Linked DNA regions of Canis lupus familiaris. The protein of the gene in region 1 interacts with the protein of each later gene in a pairwise test. Links are inferred from orthologs where the notes say so. Each region holds a gene or a part of one and is shown on either strand. Other genes may lie near its edges.

What was found. The genes of interacting proteins can lie anywhere in the genome.
Region 2: the proteins of PGBD1 (region 1) and SCAND1 interact in binary tests that used the Homo sapiens proteins (3 or more experiments, as listed by UniProt). The two-hybrid records come from large-scale screens. The link is inferred for Canis lupus familiaris from reciprocal best matches to the Homo sapiens genes PGBD1 and SCAND1.

Annotation. Positions count from the first base shown.
Region 1 is NC_049256.1:26,902,346-26,906,594, forward strand, and holds the start of PGBD1 (piggyBac transposable element-derived protein 1), read left to right. Parts: upstream 1-1,396; 5' UTR 1,397-3,399; intron 3,400-4,249.
Region 2 is NC_049245.1:25,383,698-25,386,835, forward strand, and holds SCAND1 (SCAN domain-containing protein 1), read right to left. Parts: upstream 1,659-3,138; 5' UTR 1,604-1,658; coding exon of another isoform or gene 1,556-1,603; 5' UTR 1,502-1,555; exon of another isoform or gene 1,411-1,501; 5' UTR 1,340-1,410; coding exon 800-1,339; 3' UTR 548-799; downstream 1-547. Other genes in the region: CNBD2 (cyclic nucleotide-binding domain-containing protein 2), read left to right, coding at 1,556-1,603, 1,727-1,882. UniProt on the Homo sapiens protein: May regulate transcriptional activity.

The sequences.
Region 1 (4,249 bases):
CTTCTCCCTCTGCCTATGTCTCTGCCTCTCTCTCTCTGTGTGTGTGACTATCATTAAAAAAAATAAAAAAAAAAAATACTGTTTCCTGGAGGAGGACCAAATCTGTAGAGGCAGAGCAACTTTTTGAGACACTAAAGAATTTCATGGAACAGTCATATTCCATTCCTTACGGGGTCATAAAGCTGTGTTTCTTTTATTCTGCCTTGATGGATAAAATTAAGTTGGTATTGAAGATTTTCCCCCAAGTGTTTTGATGGCTGTGCTGAAGTCAGTACCTATCATTCAGCTCTGAGTCATAGTTTAAATCTGTTTGATTCTGTTCCATTTAAGAAGGAAAGAACAGAATGTCTTTATTTTTCTCATGAAAAATAAATGACAATGACAAGAGTCAAAGCATGAAGAATGACATACCCTTCAATAACTGGAAAATTTAGCTTTCTTTGTGATGATTCTATAGTACACACATTATAAGTGTTCTAAATTCATGGACACCTTAACTAGCCTACTCCCTCTCACAGTCCCAAAGGAAATTGTCTTCTCATCGGTGCCCTGGGGGCGCACTCATAACCACTTGAACATATATGTTGGATACAGGAATATTTTAAATTTTTTTTGAGAGAGCATGGGGGCAGGGAGGGGTAAAGGGAGAGGGGGAAGAGAATCTCAAGCAGGCCCCACACCCAGCGCAGAGCCCAACTCAGGGTTGGATTCCAGAACCCTGAGATCATCACCTGAGCCAAAACTAGGAGCCAGGCTCTTAACCGACAGCCAACCAGGCACCCCTGGATATAGGTATATTTTGATAATGTGCTTTTCTTCTCTATTTCTCAAAGATTATAGAAACATTGAACAAAGGGCAAATGTTATAACAGATCTTGAAGGTTTTGCTTGCAATGCAACACTTGTTAGGTGCCCTAAAAGGAAAGCTGTAAGTCTATTCAGAGGATAGCAGCCCAGAAAGGATGAGCTGTATTGTGAAGTATCTTCTACTGATCAGCTTTTCTGTTGGGATAGTATCCTGTAATGTTCAAAAAAGAACATTTCCTGCTCACTCCTGTTTAAAAAACTGATACAGTTATTAGTAAATGTGCCGTTAATTCATGTAGTATGGAGAAACAGGAAAGGAAAAAATAAAGCATCCTAATTTTCACCTGTCAAAAATAATCATTGTTTAGTGTATGTATGTATATGCATGTATATACATGCATGTATGCATGTATACATTCGTGCATACATGTATATATATGACAATCAAATGAATCGTGATTAGTACTGATAATTTCTGCTTAATTTTAATATATAATTGCCCATTATATTTATTATAGAAATTCATATACTTTGTAAAGACCTGAAAACATGTAAAAAAAAAAAACTAAATCATCCTGCTGCGTGGTCTAGACATAATCTCTTAATGTATTCTGAGATACTGATCTTTTTTATGCATAGAAACACTTCACTTTTCTCACTGGACTTCATATCATTAACAGTTTTGATTTGTAAAAGAAAAGGACAATTTGCCTGTCTGCCCAAGTCCATTCTATCATTTCTGCCACGATCCTGAGTGGGCAGCTTGCCATGTGACCCTTCTCTGACCACTGAGCATTAGACCAGGGTGGGGGACCTCTTAGCCAGGCTTGGTCATTTGGATACCCCCAGAAGTTTCATACTGGATCACAGATTCTGTTTGGTCTTCGTTAGGCATTTGAACAAGAAACTAATCTAGAGCTGGAACCATTTTTGTGGTCTTATGAAAACCAAATAGAAACAAACCAGCCCAGTGAGAAGTAAAAGAATGAAGACTCAGAGACTCTGGAGAAGTGACTCTGACCCTCCTCTCCTGAGGTCCACTATATTCCCAGTGGGTCCTGGGAGTCCAAGAAATGCCCTTGTTTCCTTGCCAGCAAATAAAAGAAAGCCCTGATTAAGACACCAGATAACTAAAAGTCTTCATTGAAGACAATTTCTAAGAAAGGTCGCTCAACATTCTGTGGTACATGTTCCTACCATTAGTCATTTTAGTTTATAGTTTGTCACCATAAACAGTATTTCAGTGAACATCCTTGGACATACAGCTTTGCTCACTTTGTAGAATTTTCCTTCATTCAATTCCTGTGACTAAAATTAATGAGACAAAGAGGTAGGCACATTTTTCTAAGGCTTTTTGATTCATTTTCCAGATTGCCCTCCAGGATGGTTATACTAATCTGTACCTTCTGTTAGTCTGAAAATGCCCATTTTTCCATGCCTACATCAAACCTGGGAATTATCCTTTTGCATATATGACATTCTGGTGGATACAAAATAAGTATTTTAAGCGGTTTTTAAAGAATATTTTTGCTGTCAGCGTTGGTCTCTTGGATGTTAATTGGTCATTTATAATTCTGATTTTGTGAACAGCCATACTTACATTTTTTTCTGGATTTTTCTCTTAGATTCTTCTGCTTTTAAACAGCACTGCCCTTCAAAATAGGGGTTCTGTATATAAAATTTTAAACGCACATGCTCTTTGACAGATCAATTCTAATGTGTAGTAGTTAACCTGGAGTTATAAGAGCATGTAAAGCTATTAAATGTTCTCTGCAGCATTACTTAGTGTATGTGTATATATATATGTGCGCATATACACATATATATGTGTACACGTGTACTATAAAACAGTAGGATAGTTGAGTAAACTGTGGTGCATCCATACAATGGAAAACTATTAGGCTGTTAAATAAATTCGTATGGAAAGATCTCCAAGGTAACAGAAAAGGCTGAGATGCAAATTCATGTTGTGATCCCATAAACGTTCAGTAAACAAACGTTGATTGATTGGGTGCTACTACGTGGCTGATAGTGTGCTGGGAAACCCATACACGATATTAACAATGGTTAACTTTAGGGATGGGGCATTCTTCATTTATGGTCTCTATGCAAATTGAATTTTTATTGGGAATAGTATCACCTGCATATTTAAATTTTAGGAATTTGTGCTGCTTGCCATATTGTACTTGTTCCTTCATCGTCTAACCAGAAGCCCGAGAGGAGCCTCACAAAAGGGTCTCGGCTTTGCCATCCCGTTGCTGATGGAAAGGGCCCACGGAGACGAGCGGCGCGCTCTGGGCTTCGCGCCGCGCCTGCGCGGGGTGGTGGCGGCGGGATCCTAGAGAGGCGGGACCGCGTTCCTACAAAAGCCCCGCTCGGCTGCCGGCGGGTCGGGCTCTGCGGCTTCGGGAGCCTGTGCGGTCGGGAGAGCCGCGTCTTTGCTGAGCAACATCCTTGAGCTGTTTCCTCCGCTGAAGAGCAGGAGGACGTGCTGGTATCCGGCGCCTGCGGGGTGCCTCGGGGTGCCTCGGGGTGCCTCGGGGGCGCAGGTGCCCCTCGGTGACTCGGACGGCCCTGCTGCCTGGACGCCAGGTGGGGGCGGGCTCGCTGGGGCTGTGGGGACGGGGCCTCTGCCCCCGGGGTGGGCACGGGGAGGGGGGGGCGGCGAGAGCCGGAGAAGGACCCGGTGGGCGCTGAGGGTCGGGCTCGCTCTCCCACGAATAGTCTGGAGCACAAAGGAGTTTCCTTCGTCCGGACAGGAGTTGTAGGATGGCGTATGCACCGTGACTTGGGAAATGTGCCTCCCTAGAAGGGCAGTCCTGGCCGTGGAGGACGAGGTGGCTAGGAAAAGCCCGAGCAGTCAGCGGTGACTTGAGTTTGCGAAGACCATGGCTTTCCAGGAGGTAGAGGCTGTGTCTTTTATTCCGGGATTAGCGTTTTGCCAGGAAAATAATGACGTGCTCAAATGTTCACCGAATGGCAGACAAACCAGTAAAAACCAGTAAAAACCCGGCGAAGGTCAGGACATTATTGTAGTCGTGAATGTAAGTAAAGGTAATAGGAGAATGAAAGGGGAGGGGATGGCAGCACCAGGTGCTTCCGAGGAAGGATCGGCTGGACTCAATGTGTAGAGACTGGTTTTCAGCCTGGGGCGATGGTGGTGATGCCAATGGAATGGGGAGAGCAGTGAGGACAGCTTTGAGGGACTTGGATTTCAGTTTGGGATGTGTTGAAATTATGACCAGGAGAAGCTGGAAACTGGAAGGCATCCTACTGGCATTTTAAGATCTGAGTCAGGAATGTAAAGGTTAGCTGGAGTCAGCCAGATTTGAGTGTTCTTGGAATAGAGATACGCTGAAATTGTGATTAATGAGAACACAAAAGGAGATAGTAAGGAGGGAGAGAAAAAGAACACGAAGCATGTATTTCAATTACCTATTCT
Region 2 (3,138 bases), on another chromosome or scaffold:
TTACTTGCCAGATTCCTTCTCTTTCTAAACAAGAGTAGCTCTAGCAATGTAAAAATCCGTTAGTTCACACTGGCTCTACTTAAATCCTAGGGGCCTAAAATATGACAAGAAAGGGGAGTTTGGGGTTTAAACCAGAGCTCAGAAAGAGCTATCTGTAAAGGCCTGCACTAAAAGACTTCCTAAAATAGCCCTATGGCATGGGTCTTTTGGGAAGCCTGTGCCCAAAGGCAGGCCCGTGTAACAAGTTGGTGGCCCAACCTGTATAGAGGTAGCCAGTTAAGCACTTTAAGTGGAGTCCGCTTTCTCCCTGCCACAACCATATCCACTATCTTTTACGGAGGGGGGACAAATTCACATTCTAGTGAAAGGTAGGGGCAAAAAAAAAAGGTAGGAACCCAGCCTGCTAAAGTCCTTTACGTAGACTCCCAACTAAACAAAGGAATCCCAAGTGGGTCCTGTGGGAGGGAGCAGGAGAAAATTTTCCAGACGTGGAGGCCCAGGCCTAGCCAACACGTAAATGATCCCACAAAAGCCAACAAATGCCAAGTGAACAGGAAACAAAGGCTTTATTCTCATGGGTCCCAACGCGGGTTTTGCCACCAGCCAAAAAGGAGATTGGAAGGGAAAAGGCTCGGGAAAATACACCTAGTAAGGGACGAACGAAAAGGGGCACATCAGACGCTGGAGCTGCCAAAAACTCATTTTTCATCAACAACGGAGAGCCTGGCTCAGGCCCCTGGACCCGATCGTGGCCCCAGCTCAGAGAACGCCGGGGCCCCGCCGCCCGCAGCTGCGCAGCTCAGCCCGTGATGCGCACATCGGTGCGGCGGCGAAGCCGCCGGGCCCGCGCCGCCTCAGGCAGGATGGCCAGCAGCTGCTCCTGCACCAGCATCTCCACGATCTGCTCCTTCGTGCGGATGTCGGGTCGCAGCCACTGGCGGGAGAGCTCCCGCAGCTGCCGGAACGCCTCCCGCGGACCTGCGGCGTCCTGGTAGCGGAACTGCCGGAAACGCTGGCGGAATGTCTCCGGGCCGGGTCGGGAGCCGCCAGAGTGTGGGGGGGAGCGCGGAGCGGCTTCGGCAAGCGGCGGGGAGCTCAGGGCTGGGGGCCCCACGGGCAGCTCCAAGGGCGCGGAGGCCGCCGCAGGGGGCGTACGAATTGCTTCGGTGGCTGCGGCGTTGGCACTGGAGGATTCGGGGGCAGGTGGTGCGGCCTTAACGGTCGACGAGGAGCCCGCAGAATTACGCTCCGAGCCTGAACCCAGGCCGGCTCCTTCCTCCTTCTCTGGCGGTAGCGCGAGGCCCCCAGCAGCCGCCAAGCTCGGCTCCGTCGCCGCCATGACTCCAAGCTCTGGACGTCACTCTTTGTCCCGCAGCTGTGGGCTCAGCACTGCGTCTGCGCACGGGCCGGCTGAGGAGGGAGGCGTTCAGCGCGTTAGGGCAGAGCCCGCGGGGCCTCCCGGGCGGCGGACGGGGGCGGGCCGACAGCAGACCAAGCTTACCTGCACCGGGACAGGGCCTGAGCGCGCCGGAAGCGGAAGTCTCCATTAGCTTCTATGATGAGCTCGGCGCCAGAGCGCCCGGAAGCCGAATGCCCGCTCCCGGTAGCGGCGCCCCCTCGCGTTAGCGAGCCGCGTCAGGGGGCGGCTGTGGCCGGGGCGCGGGGGCGGGGGCGGGGGCGGGGGCGGGGGCGGGCCTATCTAAGCGAGCCCTGGGCTCCTCTTCAGTATGCTCCCTTCCAGGACCGGTTCGAGGAATCGGAGTCCGAGTCCGAGTCCGAGGAGGGTGAGGAAGAAGAAGAGGAGGAAGAGGAGCAGGAAGAAGAGCTGGAGGAGAAGGAGCGCCGAGGGGTCTTCGCCCACTTTGCCCGCTCCGGGCCGCAGGTGATCTGCACGTCCCGCTGCGTGCGCGCCTCCTTCCTGGCCCCTGACTGGGACGGTGGCGAGCCACGGCTTCGCTGGGGCGGGACGGCGGGACGAGGTCGGGCTCCGGGGAAGTCCTCTTTCTGTCAAAGGAGATAAGCAGGGGCACTCGCCTCGTTTCGAGAATGACAAAATCTAACGTGTGAAGGTCCTCAACAGACACAGTAAGACTCGCCTCTCCCATGGCACAAAGTATATGCTCAACAGCTGTGTGCCATTGTTATTTGGGCCGCGTCCTTTGAAACCAAGGGACAGGTGCCTCTTTGGGTTCTGCTTTTAACATTAAAATTAGACTCTAAATGCCCTGTGCCGTATGGCGGCCGCTAGCTCCGTGGGCTTACTGAGTCCTTTGAAATGTGGCTAGTCGGAATGGGGATGTGCTGTAATGTAAAATATACCCAAGCTTTGGTACAGCCGGTAATAGATCTCAATGTCTTTTATATTGATTACATGTTAGATTGGTAATATTTTACATGTGTCGGGTCAAATAAAGTCTATTATTAAAATTAACCTGTGTCATTTTTTTTTAAAGATTTATTTATTTATGATAGAGAGAGAGAGAGAAAGAGAGAGAGGGGCAGAGACACAGGAGGAGGGAGAAGCAGGCTCCATGCCAGGAGCCTGACGTGGGACTCGATCCTGAGACTCCAGGATCGGGCCCTGGGCCAAAGGCAGGCGCTAAACCGCTGAGCCATCCAGGGATCCCTAACCTGTGTCATTTTACTTTTCAAGTGTGGCTACTAGAAAAATTTATATGTATGGTTTGCATTATGTTCCTGTTAAGCAACACGGTGCTACCGCTTTGGAGTCAGGCTGCCTTGGTGGACTCCCCATTTCAGGGTTTATTTGCCTTAGGCCAGACTTGTTGAGAGGATTAAAGCAGTAAAGCCCTTTGAAGGAAAGGGTTTTTTTTAAAAATATGTTTGCTGTTGTCTTCATTCGATAAACTGCTATCTCTGAGTGGCAGGTTTTTTTTTTAGAGCTGTAAAATGTGGAGATAATACAATTTACCTCAGAAGTTAGGAGAGTTCAGCGAGATGATACAGATGAAACCTCGTACCTCTTGACAGCTGACTCACAATTATGCTTTATACTGCCATTGGTAGATAGGGAAGCTAAGACCCAAAGAGAGAGAGAGAGACAGGGGACCCATATGAAAGGTTTTGTCTGAGCTTTGTGCAGAAGGAGTGGGTCTGTTTAACAACTTGCAATACACC